Macaca fascicularis: one gene and its partner. The protein of the gene in region 1 purifies or fractionates together with the protein of each later gene. This does not show direct contact. Links are inferred from orthologs where the notes say so. Each region holds a gene or a part of one and is shown on either strand. Other genes may lie near its edges. The genes, in order: PRDX5 and PRDX2.

Region 1 (15,190 bases):
TGAGAAGAGGAGGTACAGGATGTGATGGAGGCTTAATAGAACCCTCTTGGCTGCTGTGTTGAGAACAGACTGGAGCAAGCAGGGACAGAGCAGGAGGCCAGCGAGGGGTGGGGTGATGGTGACTATCGGGTCAAAGGTGGAAGTAGTTGCCAGGAGCAGGAGGTGGATTCTGGACCTCGGGGGAGGTAAAGCCCACCAGAATGTGTCGGTGGCTTGGATGTGGGGTGTGAGAGGAACCAGAGATTCTGCCCAGGTTTCTTTTTGGGCAAGTGAACACGTGGAGTCCACGTAGGCTGTGTTCGGTCCGAGGTGCCTTCTAGACATGCAGGATGTCGAGGAGGCAGCTGGAGAGATGGGTCTGGAGCTCACAGCAGGTCCAGGCTAGAGATAGAAACATGAGAGCCCCACAGCTGGAGAAGATCGCCATAGGATTGGAGATGAACTCCAAGGACAACCCTGGCAGTCTGGATGGAAGAGCTTGGGAAGATGCACAGAAACCACAAAGTGGCTGGTGCGGTGGGAGGAAAACCACAGTGCATGGTGTCCTAGAAGCAAAAGAAGAAAGTGTTTAAGTGTTTCTAGGAGCAGGAAGTGATCAACAGCCTTAGATCCTTCTTTTAGGCCAAGTAACATGAGGACTGAGAATTGACAACTGGATTTAGCAACGCAGAGGTCTTTGTGGCCTTTGTGGCCTCATCAGCAGATGAGGGCTGTGGGCCAGAGATGAGGCTTGGGGCCGAGATGCAGCCCCTCTGCCTGTTCCAGCTCCTCCCTCATCCAGGCAGGGTCTCCCGGCCCAGCAACCACTCCCCTCCCTGCCCGCTCATGGCTGCCTGCTCTCCCTTTCCTCCCCGTACCCCCAGACCTGTGTTTGCCCGGGGAGAGTCAGGGTTCTCCTGTCAGCTGGGTCCCCTCCCGACCCTGGGAGGCTACCTCTGGAGCCCTGCCTCTTCTTGGCAGGGAGCATCGAGTACAGCTGTCCGGCCTCCAACGAGTGTGAGATCACCAAGCGGAGACGCAAGGCCTGCCAGGCCTGCCGCTTCACCAAGTGCCTGCGGGTGGGCATGCTCAAGGAGGGTGAGCACTGGGCAGGGGCTGGGCGAGGGCTGGGGGAGTGGGGGGGCCCGGGCCGGATGGGCGCGAGGCCTGGGAGTTCTGGTGAGTGGACTGGGGGAGGACAACTCTGGAGAGCAAGCCCCACTCCGCCCACAGCACCGCAGTCACAGTCCTATCTGTCCTACAATTCAAGGAGTGCGCCTGGACCGCGTCCGGGGTGGGCGGCAGAAGTACAAGCGGCGACCAGAGGTGGACCCACTGCCCTTCCCGGGCCCCTTCCCTGCTGGGCCCCTGGCAGTCTCTGGCGGCCCCCGGAAGACAGGTGAGAGCACTGTGGGTCCCCTGGGGCTAGGACACGGGAGGCCTATGTGTGGCATCATAGTTAACCTTTGGCACTGGGACCTGTATTTCCCCTTCGTCTCTTCACTCACTTCCCCAAGACATGTGAAAATGCCTTTCCCTGCGTTGGGAAAAGTAGTAGGACGGGGAACAGGGACGATTTTCCAACACTCACAGCCTGTCCACAAACACACGGGCTTTCCCTGGGAGACAGCGCTCTTCCCGGAGGGAAGTCGCTGGCCAGCTGCTACTGAGGAAGGCCACAGGGGGAGCGACTCTGGGAAGATGCTTGACCCCTTGAGGCTTGACTCTTGTCCTCTAATTGTCACCGCAGCCCCAGTGAATGCACTGGTGTCTCATCTGCTGGTGGTTGAGCCTGAGAAGCTCTATGCCATGCCCGACCCCGCGGGCCCTGATGGGCACCTCCCAGCCGTGGCTACCCTCTGTGACCTCTTTGACCGAGAGATTGTGGTCACCATCAGCTGGGCCAAGAGCATCCCAGGTAAAGGGCCCAGGTGACCTGGGGCTGCCCTGAACAGGCCCGGCTCTGGTGTGCTTGCTCAGCCAGGCCCGCTCCCCACTGCCCCCTAGGTTTCTCATCGCTGTCGCTGTCTGACCAGATGTCAGTACTGCAGAGCGTGTGGATGGAGGTGCTGGTGCTGGGTGTGGCCCAGCGCTCACTGCCACTGCAGGATGAGCTGGCCTTTGCTGAGGACTTAGTCCTGGATGAAGAGGGGGCACGGGCAGCTGGCCTGGGGGAACTGGGGGCTGCCCTGCTGCAACTGGTGCGGCGGCTGCAGGCCCTGCGGCTGGAGCGAGAGGAGTACGTTCTACTGAAGGCCCTGGCCCTTGCCAATTCAGGTGAGTCTGGAGCAGGCACGGACAGGTGTCTCCGTAAGGTCTTCAGGTTTTTAACTCAGTGATGGTGACACAGTCCCATTTTGCAGATAAGGAAAACTGAGGCTTAGGGAAGAACAATGATTTGCTCAAACTCAAAAAGCAAGCCAAGCGCAGGCTCCAAACTGCACACAGGATTTTGAGCCCTAGTGCCATGCTAATGCAGAAAGGTCAAGTTTAGTGGGAGGGAAGATGGGGACGGTACAAGGTGGCCACAATTGAGGGAGAAAAGGTGGGGTCCTGGCCCACGTGCTGGAGCAGTGAGTGGTGCCCCTCAATCAGCCAATCAACAAATCCTCAGGCCGGGCGCGGTGGCTCAAGCCTGTAATCCCAGCACTTTGGGAGGCCGAGACGGGCGGATCACGAGGTCAGGAGATCGAGACCATCCTGGCTAACACAGTGAAACCCCGTCTCTACTAAAAAAATACAAAAAACTAGCCGGGTGAGGTGGTGGGCGCCTGTAGTCCCAGCCACTCGGGAGGCTGAGGCAGGAGAATGGCGTAAACCCGGGAGGCGGAGCTTGCAGTGAGCTGAGATCCGGCCACTGCACTCCAGCCTGGGCAACAGAGTAAGACTCCGTCTCAAAAAAAAAAAAACAACAAAAAACAAAAAAAAACCAAATCCTCATTTGGCTCCTCCTTAGACCCCATCCATCAGTGTTCAAGATGTGGGGAGTGCCCTTGCCAGAGACAGCCCAGGCCAATACCATGCTCCTCTCTTCTTGCAGACTCTGTGCACATCGAAGATGCTGAGGCTGTGGAGCAGCTGCGAGAAGCTCTGCATGAGGCCCTGCTGGAGTACGAAGCCGGCCGGGCTGGCCCCGGAGGGGGTGCTGAGCGGCGGAGGGCGGGCAGGCTGCTGCTCACGCTACCGCTCCTCCGCCAGACAGCGGGCAAAGTGCTGGCCCATTTCTATGGGGTGAAGCTGGAAGGCAAGGTGCCCATGCACAAGCTCTTCTTGGAAATGCTCGAGGCCATGATGGACTGAGGCAAGGGGTGGTCCTGGTGGGGGTTCTGGCAGGACCTGCCTAGCATGGGGTCAGCCCCAAGGGCTGGGGCGGAGCTGGGGTCTGGGCAGTGCCACAGCCTGCTGGCAAGGCCAGGGCAATGCCATCAGCCCCTGGGAACAGGCCCCACGCCCTCCCCTCCCCCCTCCTAGGGGGTGTCAGAAGCTGGGAACGTGTGTCCAGACTCTGGGCACAGTGCTGCCCCTTGCAAGCCATAACGTGCCCCCAGAGTGTAGGGGGCCTTGCGGAAGCCATAGGGGGCTGCAGGGGATGTGTGGGAGGCAGAAGCCTATCTCAGGGAGGGAAGGGGATGGAGGCCACAGTCTCCCAGTGGGTGATGCTTTTGCTGCTGCTTAATCCTACCCCCTCTTCAGAGCAGAGTGGGACTTGGAGAGCAAAGGCCCATACCCCTTCGCTCCTCCTCTCATCATTTGCATTGGGCATTAGTGCCCCCCCTTGAAGCAATAACTCCAAGCAGGCTCCAGCCCCTGGACCCCTGGGGTGGCCAGAGCTTCCCCATCAGCTCCCATCCAGCCTCCTCAGGGGGTAGGAGAGCACTGCCTCTATGCCCTGCAGAGCAATAACACTATATTTATTTTTGGGTTTGGCCAGGGAGGCGCAGGGACATGGGGCAAGCCAGGGCCCAGAGCCCTTGGCTGTACAGAGACTCTATTTTAATGTATATTTGCTGCAAAGAGAAACCGCTTTTGGTTTTGAACCTTTAATGAGAAAAAAATATATAATGTCGAGCTCAAGAACACTGTGTGTTTGGTGTCATTGGGTCAAGGGTTGGGGATATACACGGCAGAATTTGGAAACGGTATACATCAACAAAAACATTAGTCATAACAAGAAAAACTGGCGCCTGGCACAATCAACTCTCAGTTTCCTCTTCACTCAGCAGCATGTTGGGGATCCCGCGGCTGATGGGGAACATACGTCCAGACTCCGGGCACTGCAGGGTGCCCTCTATCACTTCCACCTGCGGGCGGGGAGGGACAGAGCTGAGCACTGGCGGCCTCAGTGAGGGAGGCAGGTGGCCCAGGAAGCAAGTGATGGGCCGCTTCTCACCTCCAGCAGCAGATGGTGCATAGTCCTCAGAAACTCTTCATTCTCCTCATATCCCTCAACCGGCCCTTTAGGCACCTGGATCAGGCGCAACTGTGGGCAAGAGGCGAAATTATCTCCGGGCATCCCGAACTCCCGCCTCAGCCCGGCTGAGGTGTGCCCGCCCCGCACTCCCCGGGATATGCTCGGGCGGGGTAAGGATCCTCACATTATCGGCCGCTTCCAGGAACGCCGCCCACTCCACCTTAGGTATCATACGCGCCACGAAGTTGGGGTTGAACTCCACAGGGCAGATACGGACCTCAGTGGCCTGGCAGGGCGGAGGAGTTTAGGCAAGCACTGGACCCTGGCCCACCATCCCACCCGAAAAGGGAAGCCCGCCGTGGTACCTGGAGGCGCAGGGGGAAGCCACGGGACCCCACCCCCCGCACATGCGAGCTCAGCAGATTGTGGGTGAGCAGTTTCATATCGCCGAACAGGCTCTCGTCAGGCCGGAACCGGAAAGAGGGCGTCCTCCGCTTCGTCACTTCCGGGGATGCTCCACTCGATGCTATTGGTTGGCCAGGAGAACCGGAAGTGGCGAACTTACTGGAAATTCTCGTGCTTGCGGGAGCTGAGCTAGGTAAGTGAAAGACCTGTCGGGTCACGCGCCACTACCGGAAGCGTCTCAGCAGGAGGTTCCTACAGCGCACGCCCAGCTTTTTTTTTTTTTTTGCACAAATCCGTCGTATCATGCAAATCATATGCAAAATAGCTGCAATGCAGGGGCTCTCGTTGAATGCAAAATAAACATGTTTTACTCCTACACAGGCGCCTAACACCGTCGTCTTCTGTACCCCGCTTTCGGCTAAGGGGCAGAAATACTGCCCTATCTGTAAATTAGACCCGTGGAAGCCGAGCGGCACCTCATTCTTATATGCAAATTAGCTGCCCCAATGCCGAAAGCTCTGCCCAATTTGTAATTGCGTCTGCTGTCCAGCTAGCCCCCAAGGCAAATGAGGCGAGGGTCCCGGAAGCTCTGTTACACGCGTGGCCGCTCGCGCCTGCGCAGTGGAGGCGGCCCAGGCCCGCCTTCCGCAGGGTGTCGCAGCAGTGCCTCCAGCCGTGCCCCGCCTGCTGCGGTGGCCCCAGCTAGGGGGCGGAGTGAAAGTGGTCTTAGGGCGGGTATGGGACTAGCCGGCGTGTGCGTCCTGAGACGCTCAGCGGGCTATATACTCGGTGGGGCCGCCGGTCAGTCTGTGGCAGCGACAGCAGCAGCAAGACGGCGAAGTGAAGGAGGGTGGGCGTCTGGCGGGGTCCGCAGTTTCAGCAGAACCGCTGCAGCCATGGCCCCGATCAAGGTGACCGCTGGCCCGGCCGGGCCTGACATCCCCCACTACCCCCATGCCAACCCCCGTCGCGCTGGTCTGGGAATATCGCCTTATTTCCTGCCTGCCAGACCCCTCCCCGCCGGCCGCCCCGCTCATCCCTTCAGAAGGCCCTCGTGGCTGCCCACCCTTCTCGCCAATCGTGGGGACCTCACCTCCCGGGGCAGTTCCGAGGCATTGTTTCTTTTTTTTTTTTTTTTTTGAGATGGAGTCCCTCTGTGTCGCCCAGGCTGGAGTGCAGTGTCGCAATCTCTGCTTACTGCAATCTCCGCCTCCCGGGTTGAAGCGATTCTACTGCCTCAGCCTCCTGAGTAGGTGGGACTACAGGTGGGAGCCACCACGGCCGGCTACTGTATTTTTAGTAGAGACGGACGGGGTTTCACCCTGTTGTTCAGACTGGTCTGGAACTCCTGACCTCAGGTGAACCGCCCGCCTCGGCCTCCCGAAGTGCTAGGATTACAGGTGTGAGCCACCGCTCCTGGCCTGATTTCCCATATCTTCTGAAACAGCTGTCCCTTAGTGCCCCCGCCGGGGCTTCCCCCATCCCGCTCCGCCCTCCCCTCCTCCCATGGCGAATTCCCACCTTTTTGCTCGTCTTTCACTCACCTCCTGGAACCGTCCCCGGGGTCTTGGACCTTCCCCCTTCTCCTCCCAAACCCTGTGAGACCCCATTCCCTTTCTACTTCATCCTGCTGCCAACCTTTGGGCTCCTCAGAGACTCCACCACCTCAGACTCTCTCTCCCTACCCACTCTGGCCCCATGAAGCCCTCACATACTCCAGGGGCGGATCCTTCCCCCTTCAAAAGATTCCTTCTTTTGTTGTACCCCTCCTGGGTGTAGGGGCCTGGACAGCCTCCCCCAGTGTTCCACCTGCCGCTGCCCTCCCTCTTTCTCCTCTTGAGGGTGGGACCCTCAGACCTGCCCAAGATCCTCTCCCTCCATGTTGTCAGGGACTCCTCCTCACCTCCAAATACAGCCCTCTAGCCCCTGCCCATTTTATTCCACTCCTTTCCTGTAACAGACAGCATGTTATGTAACCCTTTGTGACACTAGGGGAAGCCTTCCCTCCCTTTCTCTGTTGTCACCAATGGCCCCTTAAAAGGAGCAGGGCCATCTTGAAACCTAGAGGATATGGGGTAACCCGGTGTGAGCGGGCAGGGAGGGCCCTTGGAAACTCTGACAGGGCTGGAGCATCCTGCTGGGTTTCAGCCCCGGCTCCTGAAGGCCCGGCTGCCAGGCGCTCTGTTCACTTTCCTGCCTATGGTTTGCCCCGCTCCCTCACCCCCCTTACCTTGGAGTCCTTCCCTCTAGGTGGGAGATGCCATCCCTGCAGTGGAGGTGTTTGAAGGGGAGCCAGGGAACAAGGTGAACCTGGCAGAGCTGTTCAAGGGCAAGAAGGGTGTGCTGTTTGGAGTTCCCGGGGCCTTCACGCCTGGATGTTCCAAGGTGAGGCCCTTCCCCTTCTGAAGATCAGGACCTGGGATCTCTTGTGTTGTTCTTAAGTCGTCCACATAGTCCTGACAGGACTCCTAAAAAGCATTTCAGTGCCATCAGAAAACAAGTAGAGCTGGACGCGGTGGCTCACGCCTGTAATCCCAGCACTTTGGGAGACCAAGCTGGTGGGTCACGAGGTTGGGAGTTCAAAAGCAGCCTGGCAAGATGATGAAACCCTGTCTCTACTAAAAATACAAAAAAATCAGCCAGGCGTGGTGGCGAGTGCCTGTAATCCCAGCTACTGGGGAGGCTGAGGCAGAGAATTGCTTGAACCCAGGAGGCGGAGGTTGCAGTCAGTGGAGATTGTGCTACTGCACTCCAGCCTGGGCGAAACAGTGAGACTACGTCTCAAAAAAAAAAAAATAGAGACTGCAAAAAGGGAACAGTACCAGGAATGTTGAAGAAAAACATATTGCAATTAAATCCAACACCCCTGTTGGTCCTGCTAAATGACAGGCACTTTGGAAGGTGCTTGGAACTCAGATAACTAAGACATAGTTCTGCCCATGGAAAGTTCACGTCTGGACCATAAGGCATTAGGTTTCATTCTGAGCTTCCTAGTGGCCAAGGCAAAAAGGAAATAGAGTGGTTTAGACAACTCTCATTGTCTGATCAAAGGTGTTGAGGCAGAGCAGTGAGGAGGGCCTGGAGATGAAGGGTGGGCTAGGGGGCAGATGCAGTTATCACTTTGCCAACCCTTTGTTCCCCTTCCCCAGACCCACCTACCAGGGTTTGTGGAGCAGGCTGAGGCTCTGAAGGCCAAGGGAGTCCAGGTGTTGGCCTGTCTGAGTGTTAATGATGCCTTTGTGACTGGCGAGTGGGGCCGAGCCCACAAGGCGGAAGGCAAGGTGAGGTGTGGGGCCTGCAGGGAGTCAGGGCCAGGTAGGATATTCTTCTTGTGACCTTTCCTTTCTCTGCAGGTTCGGCTCCTGGCTGATCCCACTGGGGCCTTTGGGAAGGTGAGTGTTCCCCTGACCACCACAGGAACATGGTCGTGTGGGGAGCAGTGGGGGCCCTTAGCCTCTTCAGGGATTTCTGATACTTTTCTCTGTCTCTTCTTAGGAGACAGACTTATTACTAGATGATTCGTTAGTGTCCATCTTTGGGAATCGACGTCTCAAGAGGTAAAAGTGGAGAGTCCTCTGTGGGGGAGAGTCCCCTGTGGGGAGAGTCCCCTGTGGAGAGAGTCCTCTGTGGGGAGAGTCCTCTGTGGGGGACAGTCCTCTGTGGGGGACAGTCCTCTGTGGGGGACAGTCCTCTGTGGGGAGAGTCCTCTGTGGGGACAGTCCTCTGTGGGGGAGAGTCCCCTGTGGGGACAGTCCTCTGTGGGGGACAGTCCTCTGTGGGGGACAGTCCTCTGTGGGGAGAGTCCTCTGTGGGGAGAGTCCTCTGTGGGGGAGAGTCCTCTGTGTGGAGAGAGTCCTCTGTGTGGAGAGTCCTCTGTGGGGAGAGTCCTCTGTGGGGAGAGTCCTCTGTGGGGGAGAGTCCTCTGTGGGGAGAGTCCTCTGTGGGGAGAGTCCTCTGTGGGGGAGAGTCCTCTGTGGGGACAGTCCTCTGTGGGGGACAGTCCTCTGTGGGGGACAGTCCTCTGTGGGGAGAGTCCTCTGTGGGGAGAGTCCTCTGTGGGGGACAGTCCTCTGTGGGGGACAGTCCTCTGTGGGGGACAGTCCTCTGTGGGGAGAGTCCTCTGTGGGGAGAGTCCTCTGTGGGGGAGAGTCCTCTGTGTGGAGAGAGTCCTCTGTGTGGAGAGTCCTCTGTGGGGAGAGTCCTCTGTGGGAGAGAGTCCTCTGTGGGAGAGTCCTCTGTGTGGGAGAGAGTCCTCTGTGTGGGAGAGTCCTCTGTGTGGGAGAGAGTCCTCTGTGGGGGAGAGTCCTCTGTGTGGGAGAGAGTCCTCTGTGGGGGAGAGTCCTCTGTGTGGGAGAGAGTCCTCTGTGGGGGAGAGTCCTCTGTGGGGGAGAGTCCTCTGTGTGGAGAGAGTCCTCTGTGTGGAGAGTCCTCTGTGGGGAGAGTCCTCTGTGTGGGAGAGAGTCCTCTGTGGGGGAGAGTCCTCTGTGGGGGAGAGTCCTCTGTGTGGAGAGAGTCCTCTGTGTGGAGAGTCCTCTGTGGGGAGAGTCCTCTGTGGGGAGAGTCCTCTGTGGGGAGAGTCCTCTGTGGGGGAGAGTCCTCTGTGGGGGAGAGTCCTCTGTGGGGAGAGTCCTCTGTGGGGAGAGTCCTCTGTGGGGGAGAGTTCTCTGTGGGGAGAGTCCTCTGTGGGGGAGAGTTCTCTGTGGGGGAGAGTCCTCTGTGGGGAGAGTCCTCTGTGGGGGAGAGTCCTCTGTGGGGGAGAGTTCTCTGTGGGGAGAGTCCTCTGTGGGGGAGAGTTCTCTGTGGGGAGAGTCCCCTGTGTGGAGAGTCCTCTGTGGGGAGAGTCCCCTGTGTGGAGAGAGTCCTCTGTGGGGAGAGTCCTCTGTGTGGAGAGAGTCCTCTGTGGGGAGAGTCCCCTGTGGGGAGAGTCCTCTGTGGGGGAGAGTCCTCTGTGGGGAGAGTCCTCTGTGGAGAGAGTCCTCTGTGTGGGGGAGAGTCCTCTGTGTGGGGGAGAGTCCTCTGTGTGGGGGAGAGTCCTCTGTGGGGAGAGTCCTCTGTGGAGAGAGTCCTCTGTGTGGGGGAGAGTCCTCTGTGTGGGGGAGAGTCCTCTGTGTGGGGAGAGTCCTCTGTGTGGAGAGTCCTCTGTGTGGGGAGAGTCCTCTGTGTGGAGAGTCCTCTGTGTGGGGGAGAGTCCTCTGTGGAGAGAGTCCTCTGTGGAGAGAGTCCTCTGTGGGGACAGTCCTCTGTGGGGACAGTCCTCTGTGGGGAGAGTCCTCTGTGGAGAGAGTCCTCTGTGGGGGAGAGTCCTCTGTGGAGAGAGTCCTCTGTGGGGACAGTCCTCTGTGGGGAGAGTCCTCTGTGTGGGGGAGAGTCCTCTGTGGAGAGAGTCCTCTGTGGGGAGAGTCCTCTGTGGAGAGAGTCCTCTGTGGGGAGAGTCCTCTGTGTGGAGAGAGTCCTCTGTGTGGAGAGTCCTCTGTGGGGGAGAGTCCTCTGTGGGGAGAGTCCTCTGTGTGGGGGAGAGTCCTCTGTGGGGAGAGTCCTCTGTGTGGGGGAGAGTCCTCTGTGGGGAGAGTCCTCTGTGTGGGGGAGAGTCCTCTGTGGGGAGAGTCCTCTGTGGGGGAGAGTCCTCTGTGTGGGGGAGAGTCCTCTGTGGAGAGAGTCCTCTGTGGGGAGAGTCCTCTGTGGAGAGAGTCCTCTGTGGGGAGAGTCCTCTGTGTGGAGAGAGTCCTCTGTGTGGAGAGTCCTCTGTGGGGGAGAGTCCTCTGTGGGGAGAGTCCTCTGTGTGGGGGAGAGTCCTCTGTGGGGAGAGTCCTCTGTGTGGGGGAGAGTCCTCTGTGGGGAGAGTCCTCTGTGTGGGGGAGAGTCCTCTGTGGGGAGAGTCCTCTGTGTGGGGGAGAGTCCTCTGTGGGGAGAGTCCTCTGTGTGGGGGAGAGTCCTCTGTGTGGGGGAGAGTCCTCTGTGGAGAGAGTCCTCTGTGGAGAGAGTCCTCTGTGGGGGAGAGTCCTCTGTGGGGAGAGTCCTCTGTGTGGAGAGAGTCCTCTGTGGAGAGAGTCCTCTGTGGGGGAGAGTCCTCTGTGGGGAGAGTCCTCTGTGTGGGGGAGAGTCCTCTGTGTGGGGGAGAGTCCTCTGTGGAGAGAGTCCTCTGTGGGGGAGAGTCCTCTGTGGGGAGAGTCCTCTGTCGGGGAGTCCTCTCTGGAGTTCTCTTCGGCCCCTGGCTCTTCACCACCTGTCTCTATGCCCAGCCTCCAAGCCCAGGCTGAGGCAGCTGGCTGGGCCCTTCTTTCCGGCAGGTTCTCCATGGTGGTACAGGATGGCATAGTGAAGGCCCTGAATGTGGAACCAGATGGCACAGGCCTCACCTGCAGTCTGGCACCCAGCATCATCTCACAGCTCTGAGGCCCTGGGCCAGATCGCTTCCTCCACCTCTCCCTATCTCACCTGTCCAGCCCTGTGCCGGGGCCCTGCAGTTGGAATCTTGGCCAGATTTCTGCAATAAACACTTGCAGTTTGTGTCCATCTCCTTGGTTATGAATGGCTGTTTTGCTGAGTGCCAGGCATTCTGGCATCATCACAGACTGGGTGAGAGTGGTGAGGGTACAGATGGGCTGAAAGGGAGAATGTAGGGGGTCCTGGCTTAATTAAGGGGAAGCTAGGCAGGGCCTAGGTTTTTTTTTTGGTTTTTTTTGGTTTTTTTTTGAGACAGTTTCACTCTGTCACCCAGGCTGGAGTTCAGTGGCATGATCTCAGCTTACCACAACCTCCGCCTCCCAAGTTCAAGCGATTTTCCTGCCTCAGACTCCTCAGTAGGTGGGATTACAGGTATCTGCCACCACGCCCGACTAAGTTTTTGTATTTTTGGTAGACGTAGGGTTTTACCATGTTGGCCAGGCTGGTCTCGAACTCCTGACCTCAGGTGATCACCCGCCTCCACCTCCCAAAGTTCTGGGATTACAGGTGTGAGCCACGGCACCCGGCCTCGAGGGAGGTGTTACTGAGCACTGAGAAGGAGCCAGCAATCTGAAGAGGAAGGGAAGCAGCGGTCCCCACAGAGGCAGCACAGAGGGCAAGGCCCGGCCTATGCCGCGTGGCGCACAGGGTGGCCTTTGTACCTGCTCTCTGGGTGCTGACTGATGCCATTTTGTCTGGAAATCCCATGGTGGGAACCCTGGCTCCCAGCATTCCTGCCGGGGCTCAGCCCCACCATCCTTTCAAACTTGAACCCCTCCGGGGTGCACCCTCATCCCAGGGAGAGCTCAGGTCACCTTAGGACCGTCTGATGAACAGGGAGAGGGGCTCTGGCACAGCACTTGCTCAGTCCAGGGGGGCTCCCTGGGGGAAGAGACTAGGTGAGCTGTGGAGGGGAGAAGACGCTGGTGAGGTCTGACCAGTGGTGGCTGGGTATGAGGGGCCTTGAGCGGGGATGCCAGCACGGTGTGGGGATGGGGGCCATTGCCATGGCAGGCCCTGCTCCTGGGCCTCTGTCCCTTGGTGCTGGAAAGCCACATGTGTGATGGTGAGGCCCCGCTGCGTGGGATGCTGCCTGCCTGCCCCAGGTGTCCTAACAGCCTTCACAAGAATCAGTGAGGTATGGACTGTTGCTGCCTCTCAGCCACCTACAGGGAGTCCGGATTCCATCACTGTGTGGAGCTGCCCTGCCATGAGCCACATCAGTACCTGGCTCCTGGGCACTTCGTGCTTAGTGGTCCCCAGGGGTCAGCCCCCACTGCTGACTCGGGCAGGCCACACTCGGGAGGTCAGGGAGAAGGTCAAAGCGGGGCCTCAGAGCAAATGACCCTTGAGGTAGTGGGAGTGGCACCTCAAGTGGGAGTCGGAGGGAGCCCCGTCATCCTAGGGGTGAGCCCCATAGCCCTAGGGGTGGAGGGTGGGACAGTCCCATGCTGCCACAGCAAGATGGGTAGTGGGAGTAGGGGAAATGTCGGGGACAAGAGAGGATGCCTGGAGGTCAGTGGGGCCCCTGAAGCTGACGAGCAGCTTGCCTTCCACCCTACAGTCACCTTGGCCATGGGCTACCGGGTGCAGCCCCCAAGCGGGGAGGCTGGGAGAGGCACCAGGTGGGCAGCAGAGAGCAGGACCCATGATGAGAGCAATGCCCAGGAGGTGGGGGTGGGGACGTGTTGGGAGGGAGGGTGCATCCAGGCAGCCGCTTGCTGAAGGTGGAGGGGCTGGGTGCTTATGGTCATGTCTGTGAGAACAGACAGTAGGAGGGGAGCTGGCCTCCCTGCCCAGGGTTGCAGGTGCCCAGCCTGCCCGAGTCGCACTGCCCACCAACCTCTGTCACCATGGTTCTCTCCCACAACCTGCCACCCCTTCAGGGGTCCCGGGTAGGGGCAGGGAAGGAGGCTGACTGCACCTCCAGCCACCCTGGTAAGCTGCCTGCCTCTCCTTTCCTGCTATTCTCGGGGGTACAGTGCTGTCCTCGTGGACACGCATGGCACAGAGCCCCTATCATTCCCTGATACAAATGAGGAAACAGACGTGGAGCTGCCTGTGAGCTAGTGAGTGTCTCCATCAGTAAACAGGGGGCGGTGGTGGCAAATAGCCCACCCCATGGGCTGTGCACCCCGTTCCTCGTTCCTGCAGCCTTGTGCTACCCAGGCAGCTCCCTGCTATCGGGGAAGCCCAGCTCTGTCTCTGTCACTCCGCTGCCTCTGTTTCCTCTGCTCCTGGGTTTTTATCTGGGCTGGCTGAGGCCAAGAAAAAGGCCTCTAGAGGAAGTGTCCCCTCCAGGGTCCATTGCCACTGGCTGGGCCTCTAGGAAGGGTTGAGGGGGCTTCCAGGGCTGGGGTGGCCCTCTAGGACAGCCTGGTGTGGGTCGCGGCGGGGCTGTGGCCTCAGTGGCCCTGACTGCTGAGCATGTGGCTGAGCTTGCTGGGGTGAGGACGTCCTTGGGTGGAGGCAGGGAGGACTGGCCCTGGGAGCTGTTCCAGGCCCTGGAGGGCCCAAGATTAAACAGCACCTGGCAAGAGAATCTTGCATAGCTGTCTCCAGGGTGGACAGGTGCGGCTTCAGGCCTGGGGATAAGGGCAGACCAGGCCATGGTGTCCTGGACCAGAGAGCCCTGGACACCTGGGCTGCATCTGGCAGAGCTGTGCGTGTGGCCTTCCTGGGCTCTTGGTGGCTGAAAGACCAAAGTTAAAAAAACATAATAGGCCAGGCACGGTGGCTTACACCTGTAATCCCAGCACTTTGGGATCAAGGCGGGTGGATCATTTTAGGTCAGGAGTTCAAGACCAGCCTGTCCAACATGGTGAAATCCCATCTCTACTAAAAATACAAAAATTACCCGGGCATGGTGACGCATGTCTATAATCCTGGCTACTGAAGAGGGAGGCTGAGGCAGGATAATTGCTTGAACCTGGGAAGTGGAAGTTGCAGTGAGCCAAGATTGTGCCACTGCATGCCAGCCTGGGAGACAGAGCAAGACTCTGTCTTGGAAAAAAAAAAAAAAAGAAAGAAAAGAACCTGAAACATCCACCCAGCACATGCCCCAGTGAAACTCACTTGCCTGTCCTAGCATGCCCAAGGCCATAGCAACTCAGACCCAGAAGGCCAAGGGTGTTACTCAGTATCAGTGGTTCTGGGCCTTCCTGGGTCTAGAGTCCCTTTGAAACACAGCTGAACAGACCCCCACATGAGCCGTAAGAGTGTTGACCTAAGCCGGGCGCGGTGGCTCAAGCCTGTAATCCCAGCACTTTGGGAGGCCGAGACGGGTGGATCACGAGGTCAGGAGATCGAGACCATCCTGGCTAACACGGTGAAACCCCGTCTCTACTAAAAAATACAAAAAACTAGCCGGGTGAGTTGGCGGGCGCCTGTAGTCCCAGCTACTCGGGAGGCTGAGGCAGGAGAATGGCGTGAACCCGGGAGGCGGAGCTTGCAGTGAGCTGAGATCCGGCCACTGCACTCCAGCCCGGGCGACAGAGCGAGACTCCGTCTCAAAAAAAAAAAAGAAAAAAAAAAAGAGTGTTGACCTCATAGGAAGAAGCCTAGGCAAAATTAATATCAGCAGAGACTTTATTTGGGCCAAGCTTGAGGATTGCATCCCAGGAGCACACATGCAAGTTGCCCTGAATATACACTCGGATTAGCAGCAGTAGAAATGGATTTTAAAAGGACAAGAGAGTTCTTGAGTTGTTTATTGAGAATTTACATTAAAATAACAAACTGGCTGGCTGCAGTGGCTCAGGCCTATAATGCCAGTTCCTCTGGCAGCTGAGGTGGAAGCACTGCTTTAGGCCAGTTTGAGACCAGCTTGGACAACATAGCAAGACAGCGTCCCTACTAAATAAATGAATAAATAAATAAGTTGTAGTGCGTACCTGTGGTCCTGGCTACTCAGGAGGCTGAGGCGGGAGGATCGCTTGACACCAGGAGTTG
Region 2 (15,150 bases), on another chromosome or scaffold:
GTGTCCCCCAGGCTGGAGTGCAATGGCACGATCTCAGCTCACTACAACCTCCGCCTCCTGGGTTCAAGCGATTTCGGTAGAGACAGGGTTTCATCATGTTGGCCAGGATGGTCTTCAACTCCTGACCTTAGGTGATTTGCCTGCCTCAGCCTCCCAAAGCACTGGGATTACAGCCTTGAGCCACCGTGCCTAGCCTCCTATTTTTAGTTTATTTTTATTTATTATTATTTTTTGAGACAGAGTCTCACTCTGTTGCCCAGGTTGGAGTGCAATGGCACAATCTTGGCTCACTGCAACTTCTGCCTCCTGTGTTCAAGCGATTCTCCTGCTTCAGCCTCCTGAGTAGCTAGGATTACAGGCGCCCACCACCACGTCCAGCTAATTTTTGTATTTTTAGTAGAGACGGGGTTTCACCATGTTGGTCAGGCTGGTCTCGAACTCTTGACCTCTAGTGATCTACCCGCTGCGGCCTCCCAAAGTGCTGCGATTATAGGCGTGAGCCACTGGGCCTGGCCTCCATTTTTATTTTTGGGTTGGGGGGGTCTTTCTTTGTCACCCAAGATGGAGTGCTGTGGCATGATCATGGCTCACTGCAGTCTAGAACTCCTGTTTTGTCGCCAGTTTATCCTGCGATGACCAAATGGGGACAACTCAACACTTAACTCACCTGGGTGACGTTCACGCCCTGGTCCAATGCATACTGTATAAGCCCAGTGGCTGTATCATGTGACAGGGAGTTCAGGTTGTACTTGACTCTGTGGTGGGGAACAGAGCCCAGTTAACCTCATTCTAGGAAGAAAGCCCAGTCAGCCCATGCTGGCTGCCCCTCTCCCACAGCCCCCCCCGGGTACCCCTCACCGCCCAAGCATGCTGATAGAGATGAGGTTTGGAGATAGCACGTCCAGCGCCCAGCCGACAAAGTCCCTGTTCTCCTCCATTTTCGCAAAGAGCCTTTCCCGCTCGCTCTCCAATAGGGTCTTTGAGTCTGGAAGGAGGTTTGGAAGAGAAGTGGAACAGCTGCTTCTCCCAGTTCCTGTCCTCCCCTTTCAGTTCTCACCTGCCCCTGCACATACTCGGGAATCCCTTCCCCAGACGCACACCTCGGGCTCACCTGCCACTTTCAGGGCCTCCAGATCTGCCAGGTGGGACAGGGGACAATAACAGATGGCGTAGACCATGGGGCCTGGGGAGAAGGGGTGTCAGTTTTCTCGCAGCCGGGGTCCAATCACTGAGCCCGTGAAAGTTGCCATCCATCCCTGTTCTACCATCACTGCTTCTTTGGGTGCCATCACCACGACCACATCCCCTCCCCTGGTGCGGTGCAATCCCGACTCCCGTTTCCCTCATCCCCCGTACCACGCCCCTCCCCTCCCTGGCCCTAGGTGCGCACCCAGGACGGGGCCCCTGCCCGCCTCATCGACGCCCAGGACGCAAGGCTCCTTGCGGCACGCCGCGGGCACAGGCGAACTCAGGCGACAGCGGCCCGTGTTGTCTCTCTCCAGCTCGCTGAGATCCATGCCGCCTCGGCCGCCGCCACCAGCTGCAAGAACTAACACCGCGGGAGCGGGTCTCGGCGCGCGTTTTCCGCGGGCCTTGCAGTGGCGCCTGTTTCCGGCCAATCCGCGGGCAGAACACGCCCCTGTCGCTCCCACGGCCGTGGGCGCTTACGCAGCCGACGCCGACGCCGCTGCCGTGCGCCCTTCTGGGAATTGTAGTCCCGAAGGACTGTGGCCGAACACTCAGCGTGGGGAATTCGGTGGACCGGGTCACTTTGCAAGCTCTGCTTCACGGTCTCTGGGGCCCCGCCTGCGTTGGCCGGTGGGAAAAAGGGGAAATAAAAGGGAAACTGAGACGCAGCTTCGAAGACCCAACCTAATGGGGAACTAAGGGTCAAATATCACCCCTGTCCCAGGACACGGGTCCCCGCATCACTGCGTCCCCGACTTCCACCTGGATTCAGGCCCTGTACTCGCAGTCCCTTCTTCTTTTTTTTTTTTTTTTTTTGAGACGGAGTCTGGCTGTGTCTCCCAGGCTGGAGTGCAGTGGCGTGATCTCGGCTCACTGCAAGCTCCGCCTCCCGGGTTCACGCCATTCTCCCGCCTCAGCCTCCCAAGTAGCTGAGACTACAGGCGCCCGCCACCACGCCCGGCTAGTTTTTTGTATTTTTAGTAGAGACGGGGTTTCACCATGTTAGCCAGGATAGTCTCGATCTCCTGACCTCGTGATCCACCCGCCTCGGCCTCCCAAAGTGCTGGGATTACAGGCTTGAGCCACCGCGCCCGGCCTGCAGTCCCTTCTTCTGTACACATTCTAAGTCCCCTGAACCAGGTAGCCCCGCTTCCACTAAACTCAGGCTTTTGGATTTGGAGTCCCCAAACTCCCTCTCTTGGTTGCTGCCTTCAGCCCACCCCCACTCCCTGCAGGATCTGTGCTTCCTACCCTCTCTCTCATTCAGGCCAAGCCTTCCCCACCCCCATTGGAGATCACAGACCTCAGTGGACTCCTGCTCAGGGTCTGTGCCCACTATATAGAAGCTCATTCCTCCTAACTTAGAATAAACGTCCCCACCCCCACCCCGACACCCCCCCCTTTTTTTTTTTAGACAGGGTCTCTCTCTGTTGCCCAGGCTGGAGTGCAGTGGTGTGATATTGGCTCACTGCAACCTCCACCTCCTGGGCTGACGCGACCCTCCCACCTCCGTCTCCCAAGCAGCTGGACTACAGGTGCACACCACACCACCATGCCCAACTATTTTTGGTATTTTTTGTAGAGACGGGGTCTCACTATGTTGCCCAGACTGGCTTCAAACTCCTGGGCTCAAGTGATCTGGCCGCCTCCGCCTCCCAAAGTGTTGGGATTACAAGCCTGAGCCACAGTGCCTGGCCTCCACACTTCTTCTATTCCCTGGACTCACTGGGGCTTATGTCCTCTGCCTGTGGGTTCCCGCCCCTTACCAGGCTCATGCCCCTTCCTCAGGGTCCTAGTTCATTGTCTTTTTATCTCCTTTTATTCCTCTGCGCCTCCCCCTCCACTTTTTTTTTTTTTTTTTTTTTTTTAAGACAGGGTGTTACTCTGTTTCCCAGGCTGGATAGCAGTGTAGCGATCTCGGCTCACTGTAACCTTTGCCTCCCAGGCTCAAGCGATCCTCCCTCCCCATCCTACCGAGTAGCTGGGACCACAGGCATGTGCCGCCACGCTCGTCTAATTTTAAAAATTTTCATGGAGAGATGATCTCAACTATATTGCCCAGACTGGTCTTGAACTCCTGGACTCAAGAGATGCGCCTGTCTTGGCCTCCCAAAATGCTGGAATTACAGGGGTGAGTCCTAGCGCCCAGCGCCCCCTCCATATTTCTGCCTTTCTCCCTAGATATCAGCGGGGCTCTCGGCTCCTGACTCAGCTTCCGCCTAACCATATCAGTCTCAAGTCACTCAAGACTTGGAGCCCCAGTTCTCCCTTCCCCAAATTCACTTCATACCCGCCACGCACCGCACGTCCTCCCTCCGCGCCCACCCTGGGCCCCGCGGCTTGCCCCGGCCCGGCGTCCTCTGGGCCCCTCTCTCACTCGGGCTCAGAGCCTCCAGTCGCAGTCGAAGGGCTTGCAGGATGGACAATCCCGTTGCCGGCAGGGTCCTAACTGGATCAGGTTCTCCGGGTCCATGAAAACTGGGCCTGGCGCTGTGCCGACTACCTCGCGGCTGCGCTCCTGCTTGCCCAGGTCGCAGAGACACCGCCACTTTCCCCACGGGCCAAGGATTGAGTCCTCGACTTCTAGAGAAGGAGGGCAGAGGTGAAGACCTACGTGGAGGCGGCCTACTCCCAATCTCCTCCCCCAGAGAGGAAGAAAGATAAAGATACTAACAAATAAGAGAAGCGCATATTCGCTAGACTCTGCCTCTATGCCAGACACTCCCCCGTAGACTATTTCATTTAATTTTTTTTTTTTTTTTTTTTTTTTTGGAGACAGGGTCTCGCTCTGTCGCCCAGGCTGGAGTGCAGTGGCACAGTCACAGCTCACTGCAGCCTCAACTTCCTGGGCTCAAGCAATCCTCCTACCTTAGCCTCCCAAGTAGCTAGGACTACAGGCACATGCCACCATGCCTGGCTAATTTTTTGCAGAGACGGTGCTTCACCATGTTGCCCAGGCTGGTCTGGAACTCCTGGGCTCAAGTGATACTCCCATCTCAGCCTCCCAAAGTGCTGGGATTACAGGTGTGAGCCGGCCACCATGTCTGGCCTCATTTAATCTTTCCATGAGTCTCAGGTGGGAAAACCAAGAGACAGCAAGCCAACCTTCCAAGCTCATACACAGGGTAAGTGGCTCAGAGGAACTACAACCTGACACTTTCAGGCTGTGCCAGCCTGCACAGTTGTGAGTGTCCTATAACATCCTTGGTGCCTGCCATCTGATGCTGACTTCTGTCTTCAGGGGTGTGACCATGGCCCTGAAGCAGGCACAATGCCAATTGACCAGCAGGGCTATCAAGTGATAAATGGCATAATTGACAGAATGAAGGTAAGTAAATCTCCTGGTGCTGCGCTAGCATATACAAACCAAATTTTTATGATCAGGTTTATTTTTTATTTTTTATTTTTATTTTTATTTTTTGAGACAGGATCTCGCTCTGTTACCCAGGTTGGAATGTAAGGGCGTAATCATGGCTCACTGCAGCCTCAAATTCCTTGGCACAAATGGTCCTCCTGTATCAGCCTCTTGAGTAGCTGGGACAGGCTCATGCCACCATGGCAGGCTAATTTATTTTTTGTTTTTATTTATTTATTTATTTTTGTAGAGAAGGGGGTCTCTCCATGTTGCCTAGGCTGGTCTTGAACTCCTGGGCTCAAGCAGTCCTTCGGCCTGGGCCTCCCAAAGTGCTAGGCCATCAGGTCAGGCTAATTTTAAAATCTTTTTTGTAGAGATGGAGTCTTGCTATGTGGGCCAGGCTAGACTGGTCTCTGAGACCAAGGGATCCTCCCACCTCAGCCTCCCAAAGTGCTTGGGTTACAGGTGTGAGCTACCTCGCCGGCCACTATGATCACTTCAAACGGCTCTTTACTGAATCTGCCCCTTTCCCCTATGAGACAGATCTTATCCCAACTCCGATCTTTTTTTTTTTCTTTTTCTTTTTTTTTTTTGAGACGGAGTCTCGCTCTGTCGCCCAGGCTGGAGTGCAGTGGCCAGATCTCAGCTCACTGCAAGCTCCGCCTCCTGGGTTTACGCCATTCTCCCGCCTCAGCCTCCCAAGTAGCTGGGACTACAGGCGCCCGCCACCTCGCCCGGCTAGTTTTTTTGTGTTTTTCAGTAGAGACGGGGTTTCACCATGTTAGCCAGGATGGTCTCGATCTCCTGACCTCGTGATCCGCCCGTCTCGGCCTCCCAAAGTGCTGGGATTACAGGCTTGAGCCATCGCGCCAGGCCTCCAAGTCCGATCTTATCCCAACTCGCGGCTCACCAAGATCTGACACCTGCTACCCTCCCACACCCACTCTGCCACATCTCACCGACCTCTTCCCATTTCTCCTTTAGGCCTTTTCACCTTGGCACTTGCTATTCCCTCTTTCTTGGACATTCTTTCCCCAAATCTTTCCATTTGGGGTTTTCGCTTGTCGTTCTCGCTGCACTGGTCACGGGTCTTCTGCAACCGGACCCTCTCTGACTTCCCAAGCTTGCCCGCCCCCTTCTTGCTCTGCTTCTGCCCTTCCTGGCACCTATCCCCGAGTGACAGCTTCAATGTCCTACCCACACCCTCTTCCCCTGGGAGCTGCTTTAAAGCAGTATCTATTTCAACGTATCCAAGAGTAAACCGAGCCTCAGAGAACAGTAACCAGCCCAAGGGGACGCCTCCAGTGCAGAGCTGGGTGGAGATTTGCAGCCCGCGGAGGAAGGTCCCTTTGCAGCCAGCAGGAGAAGTAGGGCAACGGGGAGCCTATGGACATCGTCACCCCCGCCGCCTGAGGTTACCCTTTAGATGCTGCAGCCTCAGCTGCTCCCAGGTGTCACCTTCGCCCTGCTGGCCGAAGTACTGATAGTCCTGGTAGACCTGGGCAGGGGTCGCCAGCGGCAGGAGTAGCAGAGGCGCCAGCAGCAGCGCCGCCGGGGTCCGGGCCATGCCCGACTCCAACGGCACCCAGCGCGCTCGCAGGGAGAGTTGTGCGCGGAGTCTGCGGCGGCCGCATTACCCCCGCGAGCCGGTGCAGTGGTCCCGGCCGAAGGCAACACGTCTCCCCCCGGCTCCCGCAGGCGCATGGACTCGGCCGCACGCTCCCCCGCACCTGAGGGTGCAGTGGACCCGACCGCTCGGCTCGTTTGCTCCCTCCCCTGCGCAGCGCACATCTTGGTTCGGGCCGGGCATAAAAGGCTTCGCGGCCCAGGGCTCACTTGGCGCTGAGAACGCGGGTCCACACGTGTGATCGTCCGTGCGTCTAGCCCTTGCCCACGCAGGTATAGACACACAGAGTGCACCTGGCGGGAGGACCCCCTTCAAGCTGCTTTGGCCGGATCCTGACCTCAGTGCTGGCCGCCTTTGTTTTCCATCCGCTGTAGTGGCCTCCTTTGTCCTTGCGGGGGAAACCGAGGCCACAGCCTTGCAGTGCAGGCCCGATCGCCCTGTTCCCCGCCCCCTGCTCGAGGGGGCCTCACTGTCTCCTTCTGGACTTGGGGCTTGCGACACCGCGCTCCGGCCCACTCGCTCGTGGGGTGCTAGTGGCAGTGGCTGGGTCACTCGTGCTCTGGTCAGGAGGGCGGGTCTCCGGCAGCCTCTGGGCTTCGCAGACCCGGTACCCGGGAGGGTGAGGGTTGGTGCTGTCGCCTCCGCCGTGCTGACTCAGTCACAGGGCCCAGCACGCAGCGCGACCTTGGGGTGGGAGGACAAAGGGTCTTCCCGGGCGCACTGACCGGACAGGGGTCTCAGCTTTCAGTCATGGCCTCCGGTAACGCGCGCATCGGAAAGCCAGCCCCTGACTTCAAGGCCACAGCAGTGGTTGACGGCGCCTTCAAAGAGGTGAAGCTGTCGGACTACAAAGGTGAGCGCAGCCCGGAGCGGACCCAGGTAGAAGCAGAAGCGGGGCCGTGCATGAGAGAGGCTGGGCCCTAACTCCTCTTGGTCCCTCCTCCCCAGGGAAGTACGTGGTCCTCTTTTTCTACCCTCTGGACTTCACTTTTGTGTGCCCCACGGAGATCATCGCGTTCAGCAACCGTGCCGAGGACTTCCGCAAGCTGGGCTGCGAAGTGCTGGGCGTCTCGGTGGACTCTCAGTTCACCCACCTGGCTTGGTATGAGCAGGGGCCAGAGAAGGAGGTTGCAGCTAAGCTCACACCCTCGGGTCCGAGCTGTGTGGCTTCATGACCATTGCTTAATCTCTGGAACCTGCGTTTCCCCATCTTGAAAATAATGGAAATATTGCCGCCCAAGTTTTTAAGGATGGCAGTAATTAGCATTTGGCAGCTAGTTGAGCTAGTTGTTTGGCACATAGAATTGCAGATGCAACTCAGATGCAACTTTATCTGCTCTATCTACTAGTTCCCAGGAGGGAGGCTGTGCTGCCCTATTTCATAAAGATGGAAACTCGGGTTCACCTAAGTGAAGAGCTGTACCCCATGACACAGCTAGAGGAGGACGGGGACTCTTAACACGGGCTCTCTCCTGGGTGATGCTGCAAGTTACAAGCACATGTGAAGCCACTTAGCTGGAGCGTGGCCTCTCAAGCTTAGTCTTCCCAGCTGTGGGAAGTCCTTGTACCCAACCCAGGGTGGGGTGGGTGAGGCTCCCAGCAGCCTACTTTAAAGCCCCTTATCTTTGGCCTCCAGTGCTTATCACATTGGGCCCACAGGGTGAGGACCCGGCTGTACCAGGCATCCTGAGGCCCCAACTCTATCTCCTCTACTCCCAGGATCAACACCCCCCGGAAGGAAGGAGGCTTGGGCCCCCTGAACATCCCCCTGCTTGCTGACGTGACCAGACGCTTGTCTGAGGATTATGGCGTGCTGAAAACAGATGAAGGCATTGCCTACAGGTACTGTGGGACCCTCAGCCCGGCTCATGGAGACCCCCCATTCCTGTGGAGCTGGAACCACTCCTGTACAATGTCTTCTCTGCCCCCAGCCCTGTGGCTAGCAGCGGGTGGTTGGTAGTCCCTTCCTTGTCTCTGGCAGTGGGAGCTCCCAGCTCCTTACTGGGAACCCTGATGTCTTCAGGGGCCTATTTATCATCGATGGCAAGGGTGTCCTTCGCCAGATCACTGTTAATGATTTGCCTGTGGGACGCTCCGTGGATGAGGCTCTGCGGCTGGTCCAGGCCTTCCAGTACACAGACGAGCATGGAGAAGGTGAGCAGAAACACACATGACACATGGGTACATACTCAGTGCCTCTGTCACTCATGCAAACATTCACTGCCTGTCCTCTGACCTGTCCAGATGGGTGTTAGGGCCCCAAAGAAGATTCAGCTCAGGGGTTTGTCTGCAGGAAGTTTCTAGTGTGGTAGGAGACAAATACTCCTGACATTCAACCAAGGTGGACAAAGGAGCTGGGCTCAGTGGCTCACGCCTGTAATGCCAGCACTTTGGGAGGCTGTGACGGGTGGATCACCTGAGGTCAGGAGTTTGAGACCAGCCTGACCAACATGGTGAAACCCCGTCTCTACTAAAAACACAAAAAAATTGGCCGGGCGCGGTGGCTCAAGCCTGTAATCCCAGCACTTTGGGAGGCCGAGGCGAGTGGATCACGAGGTCAGGAGATCGAGACTATCCTGGCTAACATGGTGAAACCCCGTCTCTACTAAAAATACAAAAAACTAGCCGGGCGTGGTGGCGGGCGCCTGTAGTCTCAGCTACTTGGGAGGCTGAGGCGGGAGAATGGCGTGAACCCGGGAGGCGGAGCTTGCAGTGAGCCGAGATCACGCCACTGCACTCCAGCCTGGGAGACACAGTGAGACTCCGTCTCAAAAAAAAAAAAAAAAAAAAAATTAGCTGGGCATGGTGGCATGTGCGTGTAATCCCAGCTACTTGAGAGACTGAGGCAGGAGTTCTCTTGAATCTGGGAGGCGGAGGTTACAGTGAGCCGAGATCGTACCATTGTACTCCAGCTTGGGCAACAATTAGCCTGGCTTGTGAAGCATACCTATAGTCCCAGCTACTCAGGAGGCTGAGGCCGGAGGATCGCTTGAGCCTGGGAGGTCGAGACTGCAGTGAGCTATGATCGCACCACTGCACTCCAGCCTGGGTGACACAGCAAAACCTTGTCTCAAAAAACAAACAGGCCGGGCACAGTGGCTCACGCCTGTAATCCCAGCAGCATTTTGGGAGGCCAAGGCGGGTGGATCACAGGTCAGGAGTTTGAGACCAGCCTGGTCAACATAGTGAAACCCTGTCTTTACTAAAAATACAAAAAAATTAACTGGGCATGGTGGTGGGTGCCTGTAATCCCAGCTACTTGGGAGGCTGATGCAGGAGGATTGCTTGAACCCGGGAGGGGGTTGCAGTGAGCCGAGATCGCACCACTGCACTCCAGCCCAGGCCCAGTGTGAGACTCCATCTCAAAAAAAAACAAAAAACAAAAAAAACAATAACAAAACCTGTAGGGGTGGGGCAGAGGGACAAAGATGGGGTTAAAGGGGCCGAAAAGACAGGAAGATGCTGTCTCATGCCTGTAGTTCCACCTACTCTGGAGAGTGAGGCAGAAGATTGCTTAAGCCTAGGAGTTTGAGTCCAGCCTAGGCAACATAGGAATAACCCATCTCTTAAAAAAGAAAAGAAAAAGAAAAAAGAGGCCAGATGTCATGGCTCACACCTGTAATCCCAGACTTTGGGAGGCCTAGGAGGGTGCATCACCTGAGGTTGGGAGTTCGAGACCAGCTTGACCAACATGGAGAAACCCCGTCTCTACTAAAAATACAAAATTAGCCGGGCGTGGTGGTACATGCCTGTAATCCCAGCTACTTGGCAGGCTGAGGCAGGAGAATCACTTGAAGCTGAGAGGCTGAAGTTGCAGTGAGCCGAGATCGTGCCATTGTACACCAGCCTGGGCAAGAAGAGTGAAGTGAAAGTCCGTCTCAAAAAAAAAAAAAAAAGAAAAAGGAGAGGTGGGTGGCAAAAAGAAATTTAAGAATTAAGGGTAGGAAACACACCAACTAAAAAATGCTGAACTTGGCTAGGCGCAGTGGCCCACGCCTGTAATCCTAGCACTTTGGGAGGCCAAGGGGGGTGGATCACCTGAGGTCAGGAGTTTGAGATCAGCCTGACCAATATGGTGAAACCCTGTCTCTACTAAAAGTACCAAAAAATTAGCAGGGCGTGGTGGCGGGCACTTGTAGTCCCAGCTACTTAGGAGGCTGAGGCAGAAGAATCGCTTGAACCCAGGAGACAGAGGTTGCAGTGAGCCGAAATCACACCACTGCACTCCAGCCTGGGCGACAGAACAGGACTCTGTCTCAAAAGAAAAAGAAAAGAAAAAGAGAAAATACTGAACTTGGCTGGGCATGGTGGCTCACACCTGTAATCCTAGCACTTTGGGAGGCCAAGATGGGCAGATGACTTGAGGTCAGGAGTTCAAGATAAGCGTGGCTAACGTGGTCTCCACCAAAAATACAAAAATTAGCCAGGCATGGTGGTGCACCCCTGTAATTCCAGCTACTTGGGAGTCTGGGGCACGAGAATCGCTTGAACCCAGGAGGCAGAGGTTGCATGAGCTGAGATCATGCCACTGTACTTCAGCCTGGGCAACAGAGCAAGACTCTGTCTCAAAAAAAAAAAAAAAAAGAGAAAAATACTGAACTGGGCTTGGAGGGCTTCTCTTTTTTTTTTTTTTTTTTTTTGAGACAGAGTCTTGCTCTGTTGCCCAGGCTGGAGTGCAGTGACACCACCTCGGTTCACTGCAAGCTCCGTCTCCCGGGTTCACGCCATTCTCCTGCCTCAGCCTCCTGAGTAGCTGGGACTACAGGCACCCGCCGCCACGCCCGGCTAGTTTTTTTTTTTTGTATTTTTAGTAGAGACAGGGTTTCACTGTGTTAGCCAGGATGGTCTTGGTCTCCTGACCTCGTGATCTGCCCACCAAAGTGCTGGGATTACAGGCGTGAGCCACAGCGCCCGGCTGGAGGGCTTCTCTTAATATCCACATTCCTGGGCCTGAACCACTTACAGCATTTTCTTCTGCAACACAGGCCCTTGTTTGCTTCACCTTGAACCTGGGGCTGTAGCTTTCATGCGCATCCTTGTGTCTTCCCACAGTTTGTCCCGCTGGCTGGAAGCCTGGCAGTGACACGATTAAGCCCAACGTGGATGACAGCAAGGAATATTTCTCCAAACACAATTAGGCTAGCCAACGGATAGTAAGCTTGTGCCCCTACCTAGGTGCCTGTGCTGGGTGTCCACCTGTGCCCCCACCTGGGTGCCCTGTGCTGACCCAAGAAAGGCCAGACCTGCCCCTCCAAACCCTACAGTCTGGGACCCTGGAGGGCTAGGCCAAGGCCTTCTCATGCCTCCACCTAGGAGCTGAATAGTGACGCCCTCCCCCTAGCCCACCTAGCCGCACACAGGCCTAGAGGTGACCAATAAAGTATTAGGGACAGGTGTAAATCTGTGTTGATGTGCTCTCTCCTTTCGTCCTCCCCTGCAACACCCTCCCTTCTCCAGGCTCAGGCTTGGGAAACTGACCCTGTGGTTGCTCATCTTCGCCACACGGTGGCGGTCTTATCACATGCTCAGTGCCTGCTCTTTTCTTCCTTGCGCTCAAGGCGGTTTCCGAGGAGTAGGGCATGCCTCTGTCCCTTGCAAATCCCAGGATGCCCTACATCCAGAAATCTGGCCATACAAGGCAGCGCCCACATTTTGTCACCAGCCAGCCCGGGTTCAAATACCATTTAAGAGCTGTGATCATCTCTGGGTCTCTTAACAGTAAAATAGGACTGCAAACCCAGATCACTATGCACGTGGTAAAAGTTGTAGGTGATGAGTTATGTGAAGCTGGGGGCCGAGACCCCTGTGTGGGGCCCAGTTCCTAGTTCCTAAGATGGCTTCCTCGAGCTGGAAGGAACCCAGCCCAGTCTAGTCTTATGGGGAAGAGGGTGGGGACCCAGTCTTAAGAGCAGAACCAAGAATGAGAGCCTGAGCTACGTGCAGAGTGCAGAGTCCCTGCTGTGAGCTCTGCCCCACCCCAGGCTGGAAAGATTGCCTGTCTGCCCCTGGGGTGGGAGGGTGGCAGTTAGGCTAGGAGGCAGGTATTAGCAGCAAGGCAGGGTTCCCAGGGGTGCAGTTTAATATTGTGTGCGTTCAGGCAAGTAGTTTTGTTACTCTATGCCCCAATTTCCTCCTACAGAACAGGGCTAATATGCTCATTTAATCCATGGATCCACTATTAATGCTGGTACCCACCTAATACCCTCTAATGGTCACTCATCGCCCTTGGAATTTAATCTACACTCCTCCCCAAGGCCCCTGCTCAGTCTCCCTAAATATCTGCCCTGTTGTGGTTCACTCAAATTACAGACACGCTGGCTTCCTGCTGTTCTTTCACAGGCTCACCTGGCTACAAAAATTTTGCCATTTCAGAGCTGCTCTCAGCTGAGCGGGATGGCTCACACTGGTAATCCCAGCACTTTGGGAGACCAAGGCAGGCGGATCACCTGAGGTCAGGGGTTTGAGACCAGCCTGGCCAACATGATTAAACCCTCTCCACTAAAAATATAAAAATAAAAATTAGCCTGGCATGATGATGCACGCCTGTAGACCCAGCTACTTGGGAGGCTGAGGCAGGAGAATTGCTTGAATCCTGTGGGTGGAGGTTGCAGTAAACTGAAATCGAGCCACTGCACTCCAGCCTGGGTGACAGAGGGAGACTCCATCTCAAAAACAAACAAAACCTGTTACCTCTGATGCTGTTATTACCCAGGATTTTCTCAGGACCCCACTTCTTCAAATCTGTTGAAAAGTCACAGCCACGCACGATGGCTCACACCTGTAATCCTAGCACTTTGGAGGCCGAGGCTGGCAGATGACCTCAGGTCAAGAGTTCAAGACCAGCCTGGCAAACGTGCCAAAACCCCGTCTCTACTAAAGATACAAAATTAGCCGGGCATGGTGGCAGGCACCTATAATCCCAGCTACTTGGGAGGCTAAGGTAGGAGAATTGCTTGAACCCAAAAGGCAGAGGTTGCAGTGAGCCAAGAGCACACCACTGCACTCCAGTCTGGGTGACAGAGCAAGAATCTGTCTCAAAAAAAAAAAAAAAAAAAAAAAAAGAAAAGAAAAAGTCACTGAGAGACAAGCCCAGTGGCTCACGCCTGGAATCCCAGTGCTTTGAAAGGCCAAGGCAGGAGGACTGCTTGACCCAGGAGTTCCAGACCAGCCAGGGCAACATAGCAGACCCCATCTCTACAAAAGTAAACAAAATTAGCCAGGCACAGTGGTGTGTGCCTGTACTAGCTAGTTGGGAAGCTGAAGTGGGAGGAACTGCTTGAGCACAGAAGGTCTAGGCTGCAGTTAGCTATGATTGCACCACTGCACTCCAACCTGGGCAACAGGGCAAGACCGGTCTCTAAAACATAAAAAAGAAAAAGTCGCCCCGTTAAAGGTCCATGTTCCCACTCCATTTTACAAAGCAACTTTCCTCTCTGCCCCATCACTGCCACCTTGACCTGTGTGTGTGTGTGTGTGTGTGTGTGGTTTTTTTTTTCCCTCTTACTAGCACTTACCACCACCTCTGAAGAACCATGCTTGCTTGTTTATTTATTGTCTTGTCTGGAGGGGTCCAGGCTGTGTCTCCAGGGTCTAGTTGTTCTAGGTATTGCACAAATGAATTGATGAAGTGTCTGTTCCACTCACCTTACTGCCTGTCTAGTTTCTCTACCTGTTTTTCTCCACTGCTCTGGGGGCTTACAGCCCCGAAGCCGGCCAGACTCCCTCCAGGCGTGCCAGCAGCACCCGCACCGGCACCCCCACCCCCAAGTGTCCCAGCTGCGCGGGAGGGAGCCCAGCGCGAGGGCGGTGGCGGCGCCCAGCGGCCCGAGCAGCCGCCCCGGCAGGACCAGACCTGGCAGTCGCCCCGCTCCTGGCCTGGCACCCGGGAGGGGAAGCTGGCAGGCGGGCGCCGCCCTTCCTGGCGGGGGTGGGGGTAGAGGGGAGGGTGTCGGCAAAGCCGCCGAAGCAGCAGCAACCCTCTGCCCCGGTCAGGTCAGACGGAGGGGGCGTGGGCGCGGCGGGGCCCAGGCGCCAGTGTCTTGAAGGTAGCACAGAGGTGGCTCCCGGGGCCCAGGAGCGCTGCCCGCCCACCGCGGGCCCTCTGGACCCAGGCCTGGGGCTTTCCGTGCCCGGGCAGCCGCCTGCCCGGGAAAATCCCGGCCCCCTTCCCGGCGCTGCGGCCCTGCCCGGCAGAGCGGGGGAGGGGATTCCCGGAATCTGCCCAGAGACCGCGGTCGCGTCACTGGGCAGAATCGGTCCTTGTATGGGCAGCGCTTCCGCTGCGTCAGCGGGGAAAGCCCCGGCGCGCACTGCTGGGCGGGGCCGCGCCTGCGCGCTCCGCGTCTCGCCCCCAGCGCCCTGCCTTCAGCTACTGTGTCCCTGGACTGCGTCCCGCGCCCCAACCATCCAACCCTGGAGATCCGGGGACGCGGGAAGGGTGGGACTCCCGGGTTGGGACCACAAGATGCCTGCGCAGAGCCGACGAGGGGGACACATACAGGACCGAGCCACCAACAGCACTGAGCTGGGGGCACACCAGTGCTTTTTTTTCCCTCCGCCCTCCCAGCTTGGAAAAAAAGACAACAGAAATTAATAAAGAACAAATTTTTTTTTTTTTTACTTAAATAGATTCAATAAAAAGAACAAACACACACACAAACACAAACACGTCTTAAAATAAACTCTTTAGAGACTAAGTGCGTGTTTCTTTTCCACAGTACGTTGCAGAGAGGGGAGGGCAGGGGGCGGGGGTCCCCTTCCCAATGTCCCCGCGGGCTTGAGTACCGGGCGGCGGGGCCAGCTCCGCCGCGATCGCCCCCTCCTCCCCTCCCTGTTAAATACACAAATATATTATATTCAATATGAATCGAGTCTGTTTCCAGCAGAAAAAAAACATACAAAAAAATGTGGAAGGGGGGGCTTGTAAACGTCGAGGTGGAAGGACTGGGCGCAGGGCGGGAGTTCAGTGTGGTTTGCGGCG

Evidence for each region.
Region 2: the proteins of PRDX5 (region 1) and PRDX2 fractionate together in Homo sapiens (co-fractionation; 3 studies listed by BioGRID). This does not show direct contact. The link is inferred for Macaca fascicularis from reciprocal best matches to the Homo sapiens genes PRDX5 and PRDX2.

The regions. Positions count from the first base shown.
Region 1 is NC_088388.1:10,068,424-10,083,613, reverse strand, and holds PRDX5 (peroxiredoxin-5, mitochondrial), read left to right. Parts: upstream 1-5,523; 5' UTR 5,524-5,532; coding exon 5,533-5,706; intron 5,707-7,045; coding exon 7,046-7,180; intron 7,181-7,944; coding exon 7,945-8,076; intron 8,077-8,148; coding exon 8,149-8,187; intron 8,188-8,290; coding exon 8,291-8,352; intron 8,353-11,034; coding exon 11,035-11,188; 3' UTR 11,189-11,308; downstream 11,309-15,190. Other genes in the region: ESRRA (steroid hormone receptor ERR1), read left to right, coding at 961-1,077, 1,250-1,378, 1,730-1,897, 1,987-2,256, 3,020-3,279; TRMT112 (multifunctional methyltransferase subunit TRM112-like protein), read right to left, coding at 4,173-4,280, 4,370-4,459, 4,575-4,676, 4,756-4,833. UniProt on the Homo sapiens protein: Thiol-specific peroxidase that catalyzes the reduction of hydrogen peroxide and organic hydroperoxides to water and alcohols, respectively.
Region 2 is NC_088393.1:13,182,699-13,197,848, reverse strand, and holds PRDX2 (peroxiredoxin-2), read left to right. Parts: upstream 1-6,381; 5' UTR 6,382-6,442; intron 6,443-6,911; 5' UTR 6,912-6,920; coding exon 6,921-7,023; intron 7,024-7,118; coding exon 7,119-7,272; intron 7,273-7,889; coding exon 7,890-8,012; intron 8,013-8,193; coding exon 8,194-8,324; intron 8,325-11,222; coding exon 11,223-11,308; 3' UTR 11,309-11,570; downstream 11,571-15,150. Other genes in the region: RNASEH2A (ribonuclease H2 subunit A), read right to left, coding at 668-755, 859-985, 1,112-1,183, 1,391-1,517; THSD8 (thrombospondin type-1 domain-containing protein 8), read right to left, coding at 3,572-3,771, 5,963-6,110.